2 linked regions of the Lonchura striata genome follow. The protein of the gene in region 2 purifies or fractionates together with the protein of the main gene of each other region. This does not show direct contact. Links are inferred from orthologs where the notes say so. Each region holds a gene or a part of one and is shown on either strand. Other genes may lie near its edges. The genes, in order: TTC27 and AAR2.

Region 1 (10,274 bases), on a different chromosome or scaffold from region 2:
TAGAGAATGATAAGCACTGGGGGTAGTGGAGGGGCGGTTTGAGATCATCACAATTTTTGGAAAAAGGATGTATTGAGTTCCCTGCCCTCAGCATAAATTTGGAGATCTGCCCTGAAAACACAATGCCTCATCTACATCCAGAGAGATTAGAAGAACATACAGTGAAGGATCTCCTCCATGTGTGCCATTCCTGGGTCACTTAATCTAGGACTGATGTATAGTGGCAAAACCCACAGAGTAAATACCATTTCATCCCAGGCTGGATAGTTCTGAGCTGAGTGGAACTGAATACAAAGAATTTGTAGCACTGGCTGATCATTTTACTTTACAAAGGCCTTTCTTTTGGTGTCTGCACACAAGATTGTTTTATAAGGATTACCATCTTTATTCTAAAGGGTTTAGATGTTACATCTATAAAACAGCAAAAATCAGCATTCCGCCTGTATTATCCTCTTGTGTGTTGGCAATGGAAGGAATTCAGTTACACCAAAGTCCCTAGAAACTGGAGGTAGGGTTTTATATTCCTTTTCCATTTGGAGGAGTGAATAACTGCTTCTAATAGATCAATAAATGACTTACTGCACCTGCAAAACAGTGCCTGTCTTCTTGAAGAAGGGAAGCTCTACTGTAGATGTCTGTTAGGACAGAAACTTCATTGGGCAGAGAAAACAAAAATGTGCCAACTAAAATTGCTACAAGGGAGAAACAGCAGTTCTTTCCCAGCAGGGATGTCAGTACACAACAAGAATGAGTCACTGTGATGCAGTTCTGTGATTCAGACAATTCAAATCCACTCTGGGATGTCAGAACACCAACATATTTTTGCTGTGTGTGAATCCATATAAAGATGAAAAGTATTCTCCAGCTCTTGATAAATTCCTACATCTCTAACAACTGTCTCAAAATATTTTAAAATATTCTTTTCTAAATTTGTTACAGCAAAGCTGGATTTCGACAAATTTGCTCCTTAGTAAAACATCTGTATTTGTTTCATATCATTCTTTATCAGGAAACCTAGAGGCGCTATATAGTGAAAAAGAGCCTTAGACAATTCAGACAAATATCCTAAAATTAGGAGTAGATAAGTACCAAAACCCAGAACTGTTTTGTTGTTAGTAAATTTTTTTTTAATTCATAAAGCTAAACAAGAAGAGCTCTTCCTCTGAGATAAAATATAAGTCTAGAGCACTTACTTTTCTCTCAGGTGAACAGGTTGAGAACAGTATGAATGTTTTACTTATCCTGCTGTTCAAAGTATGATCACAACAACCTGCAGCTTCTTTGTGGCAGAACAAAATTAACCTGTAGACATGGGATAATCCCTTACTATTTCCTAATCTATTTTTACTAATAATTGCTGCAGTCAGTCTTTGAACAGAATGGATGTATAAATAGATCAGCAGAGTTCAGGCAATCAGTAAGTATAAAAAGTCCTTTCTCATCATAAGCATTTCTAGTCATAACTCTACCAGAATGTTCCTAAATCTACAACATCAGACAGAGGAAAGAATTTCCCACAGCCACAAAAGTAAGGCATAATTTTGCTGCTGAGAACAGTTGGAAAACCTATAGGAACTTATTTTCATCCTACTAGCCACAAGAAACCTGGAAGACGACTGGAATATGATACCACTCACTGTACCATAGGATCTGAAAGATTGTACAGAAGTTCCCAGTTAAAGCCAAAGCCTGATTTTTTGATACCAAGAGTTTTGCTTGTGGAAAGTAAGAGATTGTGAATGACACAGGTTTCCTAATGTTTGTGGAGTCTAATGATTAACAGCAGCAAGATGAATGAAAAATCACTTGAGTGCTGGTTTTACACAGAAAATTTTTTAGAAGAATCCTTTGGACATCTTCAAGGACTGTAAAAGAATTGATTGATTTTGATTTCTTCAACTCTCTGGAAGCCTGCTCGGAACACGTCAGTTTCTCCTTTGGGCAGTCAGGGAAGTAAAGAGGGAAGCAGAAGCAGTCATGAAGGACAGGGGAATGAGTCATCCTAATCCACTGTAATGATCTCATCAATCCTTCACCATGTCAAGTTATAAATATATAGTAAATATTGACAAGCGTGTTGAGGCAGGTTTTGAAAGAGAACATTTATCTTATTGTTGTTCTTGCCAGGACAGATAATCCTCAAAGAAGCTAGTAGTTTCAAAGATTTAGGGAGAAACTCATTATGGAGAATATGAGAAATCATTGCAGTGCAGATTTTTGGTTGCTGAAGGACATTGAGATCTACTGGTGTTTTCAGCGTGAATACTTTCTCTCCATCTATTTCCCTCCACTATAATCTAGATATTTATCTTACTAGAACCTTTTTCTTTGCAACTTCTAACATTTGCAGTCAGTTTTGCCTGCCTCAAACTTTGGAGAACCAATAGCATCCACAGTGATGTCCCATATTGTCCAAAATAACATTTGAAATTACCATAAAACATCAACTTCCCATAAATATTGCACAAATTCAAATTAAATTCACTAGAACAGTTGGATTTCTATCTTTCCCAGACACTTCCAAAATTTGAGGCCTCCTGCCTTAACATTTGGTTCTTTTAAGTTCTATTCTCCTGTGATTATAATTCTATCACACTGCAAAGCTATGCTGAATTTTGTTTTACACAAATTTAAACTGAGATGGCAAAAAGCTCTTCTCTGACATACAGGCCACAACACTCCCAATCACTAAATACCTCCTCATCCAAAATACACATTTCGGAGAAGAGTAGAAAATACAGGAGTAAAGAGATTAAAATTATCATATGTAGTTTAAATAAAATATTCTGTTTCCTGTGTGATGTAGTGTGACTGGAACCAATTTTGTTTGGCTTTCTTTCTCCAGCCTATCAAAGAGAATCCAATTAATGAGAGCCATTCAATATTTTTTATATCTAATTTTAAATCCTTCTCTCTTTTTGAAGCTAGCAAAGGGAGAAAATATTGCTGTATTAAAAAAAATAAAAAAATAATAAAATAATGCTTCTGTATGAACTCATATAAGGCATTAACTACTTTGCAAATGTCTACTTGGACAGATATGACATGCTTATTTAATGAAAGAGCAATTTCTGAATTCTTTTGTTGAACAGTAAATTTAATTATTTCTATGTAAGCTTTGGTTTCTTCATCTGAAAACTCACAGATGTTACGTAGTTGAAACAGAGCAAATTTCTTCTAACTAACTAAGTAACAATTAATTCTTAAAAGATCAGATTAGATATGTTCTGAACAGAGCAACATTTGCAAAATGGTCAGCAAATTCTTATTCATGGACATCAGGAATGACAACAGATTTTCTGTTAAATGGCTACATTTTAGAAAAACTAATCTATTACAAGTGGGAAGACTGCACCTCAAATATTAAAGCTGTATTTTACAGACAGAGTATTTATTGGAGACCTACTTCCTCTTTTTCTACTCATCTCCTCATCCTGGATACCATACAAAAAGAGATACAGTAATATTAATACATAGTATATTCCAAATGATTAATGAAATTATTGTCAGCTTCTAGAAGAGTTGCCACAATGCCAGAGAAGAGCTGTCCAGGGTTATTTGCAACTGGCCATGTTCTTCATTTTACATTTCCAAAGAATGGTTTGAATCTCTCTTCCTGTGGTGCAGTGGCCTACACTAACTGTTAGTACTTCATAAAGTTGTGAAGAAGAGAAGAATTCCCTAGCCTCTATTATTTTAGCACATTTGAAATGTAGCTTTTTTACCTCCACTTCAGTGATTTTGTTCTTTGGGGTTCAGTGAAGCAAGAGTGTAAGTTGGCCAAGTGCTCAGAGAGACTCGAGGGATGCAGAGCTGCTTGGTGAGTGCACTGAAGCAACCTCAGTGCACGCCAAGCATCATGTCCCTGCCTGTGTAACTAAGGTATTGTAACCTTAAATATGATGAATCACAGAGACCAACTGGTTAGTGTGATGTAACTTGACTGAACTGACAGAGACAAGGCAAGAAAAACTGATACAATTCCCAAATATGAGCCTTGCATCTCCCTTACTCTCTCACCAGGTGCATCAAATGTGCTCCAGAATTGCAGAAGTTTGGTTGCGCAGTCATGCAAATTTTCATCCTGGTATACCAATGAGCTAGTTTTTCTTTGACAATTCCTCCCCTTTCCCCACTCCTCAAACAACAAATCTATTCCTGCTCAAAAATAGCACACAACACAATTGCTTCTCTCCCCAGCAGTACCAGAGACCTGGCACCCAGAATTCAGGATCAGTTTAAAAACCATGTAACAGCAGCTTTTACAAACAGCAGCTCACTGTGTCACTTAAAATGTCATAATAAAAAAATCTATGCTAATATTAATTGTTTGAAGCTTAATTTTTTCTTTTCTTTACAGTAAGCAGTGTTTTTTTTGTAGTCCGTAAGGAGATTGTCTGTTTCAAAAGGCTTTAGGAAAAAAACCTGCAGAAGATAAATACTGCATCAACACAGCAGCACAGGTATCTTGTAAGGTGATATTAAATGCACTAATTCAGATACCACAGTAGCACATTTCATATGGATAATTTTCTCACACTCTCAGAAAAAAAATTAAAGATTAAGGTTATTCTCTGAAAACTGTTGTGTCAGAAACTTTTATAATGTACTTCCTGCTTAGAAACAATAAGCAGCACTATGCTAAAATTTTGAATCTGCACTACACAGCACTGCAAAGACTTTCTTCCCCTTGAGCCATCTGGCAGAAGCTGTCCTTAGATGCAAAGAAAGCATGTTGATTGTTCTTTGAGAAATAAATGTATACTCTTCAAATAGTTTAGGGAAACAAACTTAAGCAGCAGATTTCAGTAAGTCTGTGGCAACTAACAAACACCCCAAACCATCTTTTACATCAGCAGTAACAATCTGCCCAGTACCAGGGAGGAGTGCACTAATTCCTGCCAGAGGTACTCCTGCCCACATACCTGCTGCAGCTTCCAGATATTTCTAGATGCTCCCAGACCTGAACTGTAGGGGTGAAACTCCACACGCTGGGGTAACTGGCAGAGGTGAGGAAGACAGCAAAACATGCCTTCTTTTTACTGAGGAATTATACTTAGCAACTATTTATTCACAGAAAATGTTACTTTACTGGTTTTCCCTGAAAATAAAAAGCACAAAATCTCATAATAGGAATTTTAATAATATCAAGCTTGTGTTTGGACAGGTGCTGAAATCAACATTGGGATAAACCAAAGCACGATCCTGATCTGCCTGCCCTGAGCGCTGGGCACCTCAGCCTGCACCTGCCCAGGATCACAGAGGATTCTCCACAGAGGATGTATAGATATGTATAGATATCTGAAGGGAGGTGTGGGTCTCAGATTCAGTCAAAGAGAGAAGCGGAGAGTTTCTAGCCAGGCAGAAGCCTGGGAAAGAGCTGGGGAAGAATGTAAATAATTCTTTATCTCTCTTGTTATTCACATTGTTTATAGTTAAATTCTATCACTATGTGTCAAGCACTCTGCACCAATGGTGTAGGTTGTTTTCACTTCAGAACCAATGGATTTGGTCCTTGCGGAGCTCTGTATAAAAGAGTGGTGCATTTGAATAAACCAGAGTTTTACTCTCAGCAGCCTTCTGAGTCAGTCTTCTCATTCCCGTCCTGCCTCGACAGTGACAGGGAGGGTGTCAAGAGGATGGAGCCAAGCTCTGCTCAGTGGGGTCAAGCAATGGGACAGGAGACAATGGGCAGAAACACAGGAAGTTCCAGCTCAATGTAAGGAAGAACTTCTTTACTCTGGGTCTGATTGAGCACTGGAACAAATTCCCCAGAAAAGCTGTGGAGTCTCCCCCACTGGAGGTATTCCAGAACCATCTGGATGTATTCCTGTGCCATGTGCTCTGGGATGACCCTGCTGGAGCAGGGAGGCTGGACAACAGAGTTTGGACCAGCTGACCCACCGCGTTCCCTTCCAACCTGGCCCCTCTGGCGATTCTCCCCAGGGCACCGCCCAGGCAGTGCTCGCGCCCCGCCCCGCCCCGCTCCCTCACGGTCTGTTCCCGGGTCAGCGCCGCCCTCAGCGGTGGGCTGGGGCCCGCGCGCCCTCCCGGCGTGCCCCGCGCCGCTGTCATGGCGGCTCCCTGCGGCCGCTGGCCGCGCATGGGCTGAGGGCTGTTGCGGGCGGCACGCGAGCCTCTGTGGGAGCGAGCGCGGCGGTGGCGGGCCCGGGCGGCGGGGCTATGCTGGCCCTGGAGCACGCCCTGCTCAGGGGCTTCCTCAGCGCCGCCCAGTCCCTGGAGTGGAAGCAGGGCGAAGTTACGGCCGCAGGTGAGGGGAGCTCCCGGCCCGGCGCGGGGAAGGTGTCCGCTTCTTGTGCGTGTCCGGAGCCACCGGACTGGACCGGGGCCGCGGCTGGCGGCTCCCTGCTCCCGCGGGTGTTTTCACCTCCGGCGCCCTGTCAGATCCTCGCCGAGCTCCCGGGGCCTCCTGCCCGCGCGGGCTGCTCAGGCTGGAGGAGCGGGAGCGGCGCTGCCGGCAGGGCTGAGGCGGCCGCAGCGGCGGGGCCCCCGCAGGGTTCCCTCGGCCGCTGTCGGTGCCGGTATGGCGGACGCCGCGCCGGCCGCCTGATCTTGCACTCGGGAAGCCTTTAAGCACGGGGCTCCCTCCGGCTGCCTCTCGAGTGAAAGGCTGCCTGCCTGCTGGAACTTGGCAGTGGGGCGGAACGCGCTAAAACGTGGGAAGGAAGAGTCTGGCACGAGCTGCCTTTTCTATATTTATCAGTTACTCGGTCACTGTTGCTTGAGGGATAAATGGAAAAGTCTCTTGAGGGCACTTGGTTAGACCCAGTTTTCTTGCAGGGGAGCTCAGCAGCTCTTAAAATGTAACTTTTGTCATGTAAAGGTACTTCCATGTTTCAAGCAGACTAGTTTTTGACATGTTTCAAGTCATGTGCCGTATTGTATGTAGTATATTGAAAATCTCATTTATCCCTACCTAACTTACAGATTTTTGGAAAAGAGCCATACAGAGCTAACCAGGTCTTATTTCGGTATGTGACTTTTCGTTTGGCCTTAATCATTGTACTGTCCAGGAATGGCAGCTGATGTGACTGATATCTGTCACATCTGTCTTTTCAGCAAGGGTTGGGCATGATCTTTACCACATAGAGTTTTTCTGATTGCTTTTTTTTTTGCCATATTGTTTGTTAGCTTTGGTTTGTTTTGAGGTGCTTTCAGTAGTGTGCTGCTATAAAATGTGGGGAAAACTTGAAGAAAGGCATTTTGCAATAGAAATAGAAAATAGTGGGTTTTGTGATGATTCTTAGTCATCATTTACATGGGCCCTTCCTATTGATGATCCTGAATATAAATTTAAAAGCTGTGACCTTGAATTTATATAGTGTCCTATAAAAAGCTACACACATAATCAAAAACAGATTTTATGTGCTTACAGTTATGTTACTGGAAAGAGAAGAACCTCAATATTCCTCATTCATCATCACATGTCCTCACAGCCCATAGTTATTCTACAAACTACAGCAGTCCCTGTCTGGCAACTATAACCCAATACAAAGAAGTTGTCATTTGGTGAGAGAAAGTCTCTCCAAAGAATAGATTGGAAAAGTCTCTTGTTATTTCTATTCTCTGTGAGGGTGTGATGTCAACAGCTCTGCTGAACCACTGGTGTACTTTTATATATGTCCTTCTAGGTATAGCTTAAAGTGTTTTTTAAATAATGCACAGCACATGTTATCTCTTATACCATTCAATAGCTCATTGTGGAGAACAGAAGTAAACTTTGGTCAACAGCGTGGTGCAGAGATTTTAGAATGAATGAGTCTCTGTCACCCATTCCTACAGAGTCATCCATTGCTGGTATTGAAGGTGGTTCTGCTGTCTGTGTTCCTGTATGTCTAAAATTTAAATACTTGTTTAGCTGGATGACTTTGGGGTTGGTATTCATATCAGTTCTTTGCACAGCTGCTGCTTGTGTGGATCCACAGTGGTGACAGTGTTAAATTGATTACCTTGGCTGCTGATTTTAGTGCAGCTACTGAGTGCAGGGAGCTGCAATCCCCAGCTGGAATCACAGATTGATAGTGAGGCGCTTAGCTTGTGTAGACCTCTGCATTACCTCAGCTGCACCATCACCAACACCTGTATCATCTGGTCAGAAACCAGTTAGTGTGTTTGCATGAGTTGTAGCCACAGCTGCAGGATAGGGAGATAATGGTTTTGCTCAAGAACAGCAGGTTTTAACATGGCCAGATTTTTCCAACAACTGCTGTATTGATTGCACAGTAGCATATCTGAAGATAGCTTCTGTGAATATAGTTGTAACCTGCATCAAGAACTTGATGGGTCTGAAGCTTCTTAGAAATATATAGCATTTCTTGGCTTCACTTCGTCTTGAAATCAGGCTTAAGAAATAGTCATGGGTCTAAATCCACCTTAGTAATTACCCTTAAGAATTTGCTCCATGTGCAAGCTTTTCATTGAGGTAGTAGAGTTAAAATAGGAAGTAATTCTTTTGTAAAGATAAAATCTCATTGCCCATTGTGTGTGGGTATTCTAAGCATGTAAATGAAGGACTGAGCAGTTTCTGAAGTTGTATATAACACTGAATTCTGCAAATATTGAATCATTTTTTGTTACATTTCCCCTAAGTAGATTCTCTGGTCTGTGAAATTACTGTCTTATCTATAGGACTTTACTGTTCATTTAAAATGTTTTGAAGGAAGAACATCCTGCTGTTATAACTGAAGTGTTTTAAAAGGCCATCCATTTATTTTTCCTGAAATTTCAGTGCAAGTTTTTGTTTTACATTCATCTGGTCGATTGTGTTTCACTGTAACTTTAATACAAATTATTTTGAATTAAGTGACACCTGCTAGTGATGCTCTTGTGTTTCAGTGCAACTGCACTTTCACTGCAGTGTAAATGAAAATATATTCTTTAGAAGGGGAGTGGTATATATTTTCACCTGAATAGGTTTAATAGGTCTTGAAAGACAAAATTGTTTGGAAGTTGACACTGATTTCAGTCTTGTTTTCTTTTTCTCTTCCAGAAAGTGGATCATTGTTGCAATTGATGCTTGATGGGAAATATGAGGCAATATTTTCACATTCAGCCATTCAGAATGTTTTCAGTGCATCTTCTGTGACAGAGGAGAACATGGACACTTACTTGGAGAAACAGATTCTAGCATACCTGGATTGTTCTGCAGAGGTTGATAGCGTGGAAAGGTGGAAATTGTTATTTGTTATATGCAAGTTTAATAGAGGCTATGTTTGGTTTTTACAAAAGGCATTTAAAAAATGTAGAATTTTTATAGGGCCTTCAAAATCTTTGTACTGATAGGAAAGCAGAAAACAAATTTCTTGTGTTATTTCCCTTGCTCCCTTGTGCATCTCTTTGTTACTGTCCAGTGAAAGAAACAATGATGTTGTGATACAGGGGTTTGTTGAAGACATTAGCTTTACCTCAGAAAGCTCTGGTATAAAGTCACACATGTAAATTCATTTGGCCATATATCATCAAACAATTAGCAATTTTCTCTCTGAAATGTTGTATTACATTTATGTGGCTGCTTGAAGTACTGTGTAATGTTACTGTCCAAGCAATGGCTGTATTTCTAAGTCTAACCTATAATGAGGTTGTTCTGCTCTTCTAATGTAAAAAGGCGTACAGTGTTACTCATGGGTGCTGTTCATCAATTAATTATTTTCTTCCCAAGACCTCCTCTGATAGAGTCTCTCTTAATTGTACTGTATGTGCTGATTGTTGCTGTTAAGGAGTATGAATTTACTGTTGACAGTTTGCTGTGTTAAATTATGAACAGGCTGAAATCTGACATGCTAGGCATAGTAGAAGCAGAAAGCTATGTGAGTTTTGTGTGTATATATATTGGTATTTTAAAAGGTAAAAAAGTTTCACCAAAAGATAAGAGAAGATAAAGATTAAAAACTAAAAGAGGAAGGTAGTTGTTACCTGTTAGTGTTGGCAGAGTCCAAATACGTGTGTTTTGGTATGACTCGCATGAACCTAAGAGTTTTTACTAAAATATCAGGGAAAAAAAATTAGTTGGCATGTTGGAAAAACTGAGCTGAGATTTGTTCATGATCATAGTGTGTCAAAAACTTGTCTTCTGATGTGGTGCACAATACAATGCACTCCTGTGTTCTGAGTTAGCATTCAGAGGTTTTTCCCATGCATGTTTTTTGCTAGGTGTTTCTTGTTTTTTTCCCCTTACTTTACTGTGCTGTTACTGTTAAATATTAGCTGGATAAATTTTTCAATATTTCTAGATTCTATCACCTTGCGGTAGTTTG
Region 2 (9,914 bases):
GTAGGGCTGCAGAGTCACTGGTGACTGCACTGTGCTCTTCTTGCCTTGGATCAAACTCCAAAAATGAAGTTGCTTCCAGAGCTGAGCAGGAACTGCACAGATAATGCCCTCCCCACAGCTCTGAGCAGCTGAGGCAGAGTTCTGATGTCTGTGTGTGAGGTGGGGATAAGGCAAAGCCCAGAGCTTCCCTGGCTCCACTTCAGGAAATCCCACAGGAGCAGAGCAGTGGAGAACTTGGTGAGGAAGGGCTCAGTCTGCAAGGCTTTTCTTTGTCACTGGGAATGTGGTGACTCCTGCCAGGGCTTCAGGGAGATTCTGACACCGGCTCCTGCTGAGGGACTGAAATACAGACTGAGGGAGCCCAGGCATAAACAAGACTCAGGAAGCCAGAAGCAGCAATAAGGGATTCCCAAATTCCCCTCAAGGGGAGAGAATGGCTGGTTGGAGAGTATTCTGGGTACTGCTGTGAACTGACAGCACTGCTCTGAGCGTGCTGCAAACACACCTGGACTGTCCAGTCCTGTAGTGGGATGGAAAAAACCTACCAAATATAAAATGTAAATTAAAACCCTCCCGAGACTTGTAAGAATCACAACTGAAAAATCTGAAAGCCACTTGATTAAGGCAATGCTTCCCAAAACATTTTACCCAGCAATTAAGCCCAAAAACCTTCACCTTCCCCAAAAGTACAGCAAGTACTTGGGTCAACAAGGACAGGGATGGAACTGCACCCACAGCAGAGCCTCCTGCTGGGCTGGTTCCCATTGCTCAGCTTTATCAGGGTGTCTGATATGGGCTTTTTATGTAAACTAAGCCAGTTTGCTGCACTGCCAGCACTGTCACCAGTAGTGGAGCAACTGCTTTCACTGGGGCTGAGCTACACATCTGCCCCACCTGTCTCAGCAGAAGCAGCATCTTTTGCATTTTGGAATAACCATAAATTCCCTCTGGAGAAGAACCTGACTACAGGAAATCCTCAGCTGTGCTAAGGAATGGAAAAGCTGCTTAAACACTATCACTGCCCTTAGCTCACTAAGGCTTTGCTGCAGCTTCCCTGCACACTGAGCACACCATTCCAAAAATCAGCATCATCAGTCCTTCATGCCAAAGGTTTGTTGTTGTTTTTTCTTTTCAAGAATGAAAGGCATTCTGGAAAAATTAAACAAACAGACACCACACTGCACTTGCCCAGCCTCTCTTGTAGCTGTTGAGCTGAATTTCTTACTGAATAACAGAGGGAAAAAGTCAAAATAACCCCTGTGTGCTCAGACAGGTTCCTGTCTCCCATGCAGCTTAATTCCTTTGGCAGTTTCACCCCAAATTTGACACTGCCTTCCCTCCCACTCAACTTCCCAGGGAACAGCCACAAACACACCTGTAAGGTGCTGGTTAAGAAGTTGTCCTGGGAGACAATGTCCACAAAAAAATCTGCTGGGATCTCGTTGAGCTGGTGATAGAGCACGGAAATGAGGTTGATGTAAAGGTCTTGGTACTTCCCTATGGCCTCCTCTGAGCGGCACAGGATGTTCAGGAGCCTCTTCCAGTGCTCAAAGGCATCGTACACATTCCCAATCAGGAAGCAAATGAAGGCAAACTGCAACTCAGCTGTGTGGGTTCAGAGAAGGGAAACAAAACAAAACATGTAAGACTAAACAGATATCCTGTGAATGTGTCATACACAAAGCTCTGCAAATGGTTTCTAAACTCTGGTTTGGCTTTTGCAAAGTGCATTCCTCAAGTGCATACTCAAACACTGACCCTGTACTGCTCTTCAGCTGGAGCAAAACAAAGCAGAACGGGGCAGGTCACCTGTAACTGTGATTATCAGCACTGGAGAAGGACTCTACAGACAGCAAACAACACCAAACAGCCCCAAACATCAAGGCAGACCCTGCTATTATACTTTGAGTGTCCAGCCTGCCAGTGCTGAGTGTCCAGCACAACATGGGACTGCAAACAGCACTGTCCTGGAATTCTGGGAGAGATCAGCAGTGCCTCAACGAGTGTGTTTGTCTTGCTGAATTAAGAGCCAGGGTTCATCACACTGGATGCTTGGTATCAGCTGTTTTCCCACCATTCCCTAAGGCAATTTGTTCTCTCTACATCCTACAGTTGTCTTTGGTAATTTTGAAGAAGAATAAATTGTATAATGTTAATGTACAAAAAAAATGGAAGAAGGGACAAACGAAGGCTTATTCCAAACCTGGGAGGGCTTCTCCCTCCATCCTGCAACAAAACAAAACCCTGCTCTAGGACCTCCACAAACCCAGCATTTATTTGTATCACAGGCTGCAAAGCAGGCTGGAGAACAGCTGAGCTCCGGGAGGTGTGGTGCCCCCACAGCAGGGCTGGCACAGCCTGGACACTGCCACTGTCACTGTCACTGCCACCAGCAGCACACGGAGCACGGCCAGGAGGGGCCGGGCCCTGCAGTAGGAACCACCAGGCCCACAGCTCCTGCCCAACCTAGCAGGAAGAAGGGGCCGGGGGTGCCCATCCCCACTCGGTGCTCTCAGGACTCCGTAAGAGATGTCCTCACGATGTTCCCTGAACAGCTAAGGTGCCAGGGCCACTTGTGACGGCTGCTTTTGACTTCATCGGGGCAATCAGGGCTGCAGCACCACGTTCCCACACCAGAGCCATAGAACAGAATTACAGAATATCCTGAGTCCGGAGGGACCCACAAGAATCACCCAGCCCAGCCCCCGTCCCTGCCCAGACCCCCCGACAACCCCGTCCTGGGCACCCCTGGCAGCGCTGCCCCAATGCTCCTGGAGCTCTTGGGGCCGTGCCCATCCCCTGGGGAGCCTGGGCAGTGCCAGCACCTCTGGGGGGAGAACCTTTTCCTAATATCCAAGCTAAACTTCCCCTGAAGGCCCTCGGGTGCTCTCCCTGGTCACACAGAAGAGAGATGGCAGCTGCCCCTCGGGAGGAGCTGCAGCTCCGGCCTCAGTCTCCTGCAGGCAATGCCAGAAACTGCCCAAACTTCTGTCCTGCGCCGCAGAGCCCTCGGCGCGCCAGGGAACCGGCAGAGGTCCCACCTGGAGCACAGGAATGCCATTTCCCGGGCGCTCACCGAGCAGGCCCAGCGGCCGGCCGGGGTAGCGCTGCTCCATCACCCGCTGCAGGGCGTAGCTCAGGTCCATGCTGTGCCGGGTGATCTCCTCGGGGGTGGCTCCGTCGGGGAAGGCCTGCCGGGGCAGCTCGGAGAAGCGGATCTGGGTGCCGGCCCGCGGCCGCATGCGGGGCAGGCGGGCCAGCCCCTCGGCGTAGCTGCGGCACTGGGCGCCCAGCGGCGGCCGGCGCTGCCCGGCGCGGTCCCGCGTGTGCCGCCCCGCCGCCTCGGGCAGCACCTCGGCGAAGGCGCAGATCTGGCCGCTCTCGGGCTGCAGCTCCTCGGCCGCCGCCTCGCTGATGAAGCTGCTCAGCGACACCCACTTCTTCAGCGTCTCGTAGGGGTAGGGCCCCAGGAAGGGGTCCAGCTCCCGCAGGCTGTCCCGCAGCGCCTCGCCCTGCTCGGGCGGCTCGGGCCGCACGGCCTCGCCCGCGGGGTCCCAGCGCAGCACCCGCACCTCGCGGCGCCGCAGGCTGAGGAAGCGGCCGGAGCGCGGCCCCGCGTCCCGCCCGCCGGCGCCGGCCGCGCTGCAGTGCACGAAGTGCAGCCCCGGCGGCACCATCTTCACGCCGCGGAACCGCGGCCCCACGGCCCACGCGCTGTAGTCGATGCCGAACTCGGTGCCCTCGGGCACGTCCAGCACCACCACGGCCGCGCCCTCGAAGAAGAGCTGCCGGGCCAGCTCGGGGTCCGGCCGCAGAGCCGCCATGCCGGGCCGCACCGAGAGCGGCGGCGCTGCCCGGACATCCGGGCCCGGCGCGGGAGGAGCCTCCGCGCCGCCCGGCCCCGGCCCCGGCCCCGGCCCCGGCCCCGGCCCCCCGGCCCCGGCCCCCCGGCCCCGGCCCCGGCCCCCCGGCCCCGGCCCCGGCCCCCCGGCCCCGGCCCCGGCCCCCCGGCCCCGGCCCCGGCCCCGGCCCCGGCCCCGGCCCCGGCCCCGGCCCCGGCCCGCCGGCCCCGGCCCCGGCCCCCCGGCCCCGGCCCGCCGGCCCCGGCCCCGGCCCCGGCCCCGGCCCCGGCCCCCCGGCCCCGGCCCCGGCCCCGGCCCCCCGGCCCCGGCCCCGGCCCCCCGGCCCCGGCCCCCCGGCCCCGGCCCCCCGGCCCCGGCCCCGGCCCCGGCCCGCCTGCGGGAACTGCTCCCGATCGGTGCCGCTCCGTCCCTGTCCCCGCCGGCCAGCCTCAGCCCCCGGCCCGCCGCTGCTCCCTTCTGCCTCTCCGTGGCTGGCGGCTGCCCCCGCTGACCCGCTGTCCCCCAAACCGGTCGCCAGTCCCTCCAGCTGCCTGCCATTCCCCTGGGCCCCCCGTGCTCCCAGCCCCGCAGCGGGACAGACGGACAAGAGCCGTGCCTGGGACTGATGGAGCGAGAGGCCCCCGGGACAGACACTGAGACCCTCACTGTGACACAGACACCGTCCCAGCACCACGTCCTCCCTTCCAGGACAAGACAGGGCCGGGGTCCCCAGGGATGGGCAGCTCCCTCTGCCTCCCGCACCCCGAGCATTCTCACAAGCCCGAGGCTCAGCACCTGCCACACGAAGCCGCTCCCGGCTCCACCAGCCGCAATTCCCGACCTGGCAACATCATCTGCCCTTGGTGTGCTGAGAGCCCACCTGCAGAACTGCGTCCAGCTCACGCTGGAGGGGCGCAGAGATGTTGGAATGAGTCCGGAGGTGGCCATGGAGATGCTCAAATGGGCTGGAGCCCTCTGCTCTGGAGGCAGGCTGGGAGAGCCAGGGGTGCTCAGCTGGAAAATTAAAGGCTCCAGGGAGAGCTCAGAGCCCCTTGCAGGGCCTAAAGGGCCTCCAGGAGAGCTGGAGAAGGACCTGGGACAAGGGCCTGGAATGCCAGGACATAGGGAATGACTTCCCACTGCCAGAGGGCAGGGTTAGATGGGATATTGGGAGGGAATTCTTCCCTGTGAGGGTGTGGAGGCCTTGGTACAGGTCGGCCAGAGCAGATGTGGCTGCCCCTGGATCCCTGGAATTGTTGAAGGCTAGCCTGGATTGGGTTTGGAGCACCCTGGTCTAGTCAAAGGTGACCCTGTCTGTGGCAGGGGATAGAACACGATGAGCTTTATATTCCCTTCCAGCCCAAACCATTCTGGGATTCTGTGATTTCTACAATCTTCTCTTTAGACAAAGCCTGGTATTTCCATGTGCAGTGCTCCCTGTTGCAAGGTTCCCTCTTCACGTCTCCATCCTCTCAACAGGAAAGAGTTAACCGAGGCCCCAGGCTGATTTAGCATCAAACACATTTATTTCACTTTTATTGAATACAAGAACAGTGAGCACACACGCATACACCACTGAGCACTGAAAAGGAGTATGACCAAAGGGGGTGAGGGAGAACAAGGGAAGAGAAAAGGAGAGTTAGTGAAGGAACAACAGAGCGTTGCAGTTGGTTGGTAAGGTGCTTCTCAAATAAAAATAAATATTATTATTATTATTATTATTATTATTGTTACTGTTATTACTCATGCAATTGCAGGCCAGGTTCAGAATGAATTTGTGGGATTGGGTAAAAACAGGCACTCATGTCTTCCACCCCTTTCCACAGAAATGGCCCCTGGAAGAAAAAAAGCAGTGACCAGCTATCCAGAACAGAGAGTGGTGATGGGCAGGCTGGGGCTGAGCAGCAGAAAGCTGCAAGTCACCAGGAGAACAAGCAGTGAGCTTTTTTTCTTTGCTTTTATTATTTTCTTTTAAGAAAAAAAAAAAAAAAAAAGGTTTGGACAGTGCCACTGATGAACACGCTGTGGGAGCCAGGGGCTGCTCACTGCAAACAGAACTCCCTCAGCCCAAGTGCACAGGGAGCCTCAGTCTACTCAATCCCATGGGAGCCTTGGCTTCCCACGCTGGGCACAACACCAGAAGCAACTCTGCAGGGTCACAGCGGCCTCGGGTGGGCTGGCGAGGGGCCCCAGCCAGGTGGGCTCCCCTGGCCCTGAATTGTGACATGTACTGGTGAACGCCAGCACGGGGCAGACCCCGGCCCTCTGCCACTTCTGGCAGTGCCTCTGCTGGGCACAGCTGGCTGGGCTGCATTGGGAAAACAAACGAGAGAAAAGGAGCCTCTTTGCAACTGCCCTAAGTGCTGCTAGGCTGGGGCTGTGCTCTCTGGAGACACGTGGCTGGCAGCTGGGGATGGGCACTGGCAGCAGCCCCTGTGCTCTTGCCTTCCATGCCTTGCAGGAGAAGCCTCTCTGCCAGGAGAACAGACTCACTGGTGAGCAGCTGCCAGGGAGCAGCTCCCTCCTGGGACAGCGCAGGTGGGAGCAGGGTCTGCCCACGGCATCCTCATGGCTCAGGAGCTCCTGCTCGGGCATCCTGTGAGCCCTGGCAAGGCCTGGCAGAACACACCTGGTCCTGGGCACAGCCTGTGTGAGGGGTGGGAGACTAAAGGCAAAATGGTGCAGAATCATGGCTCCTTCGGTTTCTGCAGGAGCTAGAAACAATTCCAAGAAGGAAACCCATTTCTTTCCTTTCCTTTCTGGTTTTGGTTGGGAGCCTACCTGAACTGCCTGGTTCACAGTGTATGGGGCCCTGGGCTTGGCCCACGATCCCCTTCCAAAGGCAGCCCTGGAGGGAGCCTGTGGCTGAAGGCCGAGCTGGGAGCAGCCCCACTGACGCCTCCTGGGCTCTCCCATCCAGCCTGGAACGCTGGGGACACTCTGCAGGGATGGACACAGCACGCTCCCTGCCCTGCCCATCCCCAGGCAGACAGGGGAGCACTGCCACGGCCCTGCCAGCGCTGTCCCCAGCCCTCTGCCATCACACCCCTGGTAGTGGGGGAGGCAGGGCACAAACAGCCCCTCTGCCTTTGACCCTACAAAAAAACTCAAGAACCTGCCCTACTGGGAACCAGAAGCAAAGCAAAGCCACCCCACTACCGCAGGGCTCCTGCAGGGAGCCCCGAGCCCTGCGGCTCCCGTCTCGCTCCCCGCTGACCCTGGGGGCAGCTCTGGCTCGGGGGCTGGGAGCCCATCGTGCCTACGGCTGGAGCTGGAGCCTTCCGTGCCCCTCCAAACCTCGCCACCACACACTGCAGACCACCGGCAGGACATTCCTGTCCTTTGCCCCCTCCCCTCCCCCCAGCCAGCAGCAGCCAAAACCTTTCCCATTCCTTCTTGTGGGACTCAGAGTCCCATGTGTGATCTGGGTCTCCAAGTACCCCAACCACAGTCAATCCATGAGTTAACAATTTCAAAATGTTGGCACCGTCTGTACCATCACTGTTGAATTATTTCAGCATTGTTCCCTCCCTCCCCCTCCGTTATATAGAATAATATACAGAACTGAAATGCACATCCATATGAAACCCCACAGGCTGCTCGTTAGAGATGAGAAACCATGTACATATCATTTGCTTTTGTTTGAAATGAAACCAATTCCTAAATACCTTCAGAGAACAAGAGGTTGGACAAGTGCACAGAGAAGATAAGGAAGGGAAGGGGAAAAGTTAACAGAACCCCCCCAAAAATGCAAAAAACCAGCATGGAATGAGGAGAAGGGCGAAATGACACTTGTGAATTGGAAAATAACTCTAAGGTCATAACTTCAATGTTTTTCTCTCTTCTTTCCAGAGGTGGGGAATGGTTTTGCTTCTGCTTGTGGTTTTTAACTTCAGTTTGCTTACTTGCTTTGTTGCAAAGCAGTTTTCCTTTCCATTCAGTGTGCAACAAATGAACTCATGATTGTGTGTCCTTTCATGTAACATGCAAGATGGTGGCTTATTGTATTGTTACCAAGATTATGGTTATTATTACGACTTTTTAAATCTGATTTGATCACCAATCCACGAAATTCTTCAATTTATCTGCAGAGGGTTGCCTTTGTTTGTTGGTGGTGTTGTTTGCTATTTGTTTCCAGCATATAGCAGCAGTGCAAGGATGCATTTTGTTTCCTGTTTTTATATATATATATGTATGTATGTATATATATATATAATATATTTGCTATTCCTTTTTTAAAAATTTTTGTCTCTTGCCATGAACATTGCAGCCAGGATGTCTATGTCTTGCTGACAAATCCAGCATGAAGGCTCCTTCTCCCCTGTTCTCCAGGTTTGAATATAGATGTTGGCTTCCAGGAACATGTTGGTCAGGATTCCTGTGCAAGGCAGATAGAAAGGACCAAGTCATGGAGTGCCAGTCCATGGAGGCTCCTCTTTGGATGAAGGCACTGGATAGAAACTTTGCAAACACTTGGGGCCACAGTTTACATTTAGTTAGCAGGAGCTCTGGTTATTGGCAGGAATTCAGGCACTGGGGTGGTGTTGGTGCATGAAGGACATGAGGGGAGCTGCTGCTCCCTCACTTTAAGCCATTCCACTAAAACTGGGTGGATCCTATGGGATGCAGGAATGTCTGGACTTGTTTGTACTGTGGGACAGGATGAGGCAGCTCCACCAGCCTCTCATGACCTTCCCAGCTGCATTACTGGTCGCTTTTCCAGGCTTAAAAGCTGCCCATCAGAACCTTCATATGATAAAGAAATGGAAAGTCCCAGTTCTGAGGAGCCTCTCCAAATGCACCTGCACCCTGGCTGCTGCCAGAGCCCCCAAACTGTTCCCTCTCCTCTCCACCTCTGTCCCCACTGCTCCCACACAGGGTCTGGTGGCTGTGCCAACCCAGAGGAGCCGCATCTCCTGGCTGACAGGGGGGAATGGGGTCAAATAGGGGGTTTAGGGTGGTGCAGGACTCCCCAAGTCCTAGAGAAGTGTCTGGGACTCTGATAGCTTTGCGGTGTCTGCAGGGAGGTGCAAACCTTGTGTGCTGCTGTGTATAAAAACCCAGCCTGAGGATCTGAGGGGACTGAAAATCTGTAGAGTTTCTGTAAAGAAGTTATCATTTTTGCCAGCATTGGTCTGATACTTTGGCTTTGCATAACCTGTAGACAAATGCCTCAGCCTATCCACAAACCTGAGGTCCCCTCAAACCCCTTCCCACTCCAGGGGGACGAGCAGGTCCTTTCCAGGTCTTTTCCTTTTTACATCAAATGCCTCTGAGCCCCGTGCTGAGCAGGACAGCAGGGTGACATCCACAGCATTGCTTTCAGTGACATGGTAGTGGCTTCCTGACCACAACCAGGTGGCAGTGCCCAGAGCCACCATGCCAGTATCTGTGGCTGGTGGGGACCAGAGATCGTGACCTATTACACCCCCATTACCAGCAGGTGTACATCACTCCTGGCAGCTTCTCCACCTACCTGAGGTTTCTTGTCCCTTTCCTCTGGAGAGGGCTCTGTTTCTCTGTACACCACAGCTTTGGTTACCAGCATGTCAGGGTGCTGGAGTTTTGCCTCTTTGATTGCTAAAGCCAGTGCCTGGAAAGCAGAAGGGTGAGAGAGAGAGCATTTATCCTCCCTCTCCTGCAATCAGACACCCTGACTGCAGCCAGAAAGCAGCTGAGTAGGATTCCAGGGAGCAGAGTCGGATTCCAGGATAGGAATGCAGGGGTTCAGAGCTGAACCCACAGCAGCCTGGCAGACGAGGCTGAAGCCCAGCATGGGAATCCAGCATGATTGGGAATTCATCCATGATTGGGAGCCCTCATGAGTTGCCTTTCTCTGCTTTTTTTCTGTACAGATGTGCTACTGAAACCTGGGCAAAGGAAAACACTAGAAAAATCTACAGGAATTAGCAAATTCATTATCATAATTCTAAAAATTAATTTAGAGCCTTTTATTTATTTTATCTCTTTATTTTTTTCTTAAGTAACAAATCCCAAAGGGTGAGGCCACAGGAAAATGAGATTTGTGTCAGTCTTTGTTATTTCATCACAAAAGTGTGTCACATTTGTTCT

What was found.
Region 1: the proteins of AAR2 (region 2) and TTC27 purify together in Homo sapiens (affinity purification with mass spectrometry; 3 studies listed by BioGRID and IntAct, with this or other methods). This does not show direct contact. The link is inferred for Lonchura striata from reciprocal best matches to the Homo sapiens genes AAR2 and TTC27.

What each region holds. Positions count from the first base shown.
Region 1 is NC_134605.1:35,401,625-35,411,898, forward strand, and holds the start of TTC27 (tetratricopeptide repeat protein 27), read left to right. Parts: upstream 1-6,039; 5' UTR 6,040-6,183; coding exon 6,184-6,271; intron 6,272-9,010; coding exon 9,011-9,188; intron 9,189-10,274.
Region 2 is NC_134619.1:13,897,445-13,907,358, reverse strand, and holds the start of AAR2 (protein AAR2 homolog), read right to left. Parts: upstream 3,845-9,914; 5' UTR 3,825-3,844; coding exon 3,077-3,824; intron 1,606-3,076; coding exon 1,376-1,605; intron 1-1,375. Other genes in the region: EPB41L1 (band 4.1-like protein 1), read right to left, coding at 8,212-8,220, 9,319-9,435. UniProt on the Homo sapiens protein: Component of the U5 snRNP complex that is required for spliceosome assembly and for pre-mRNA splicing.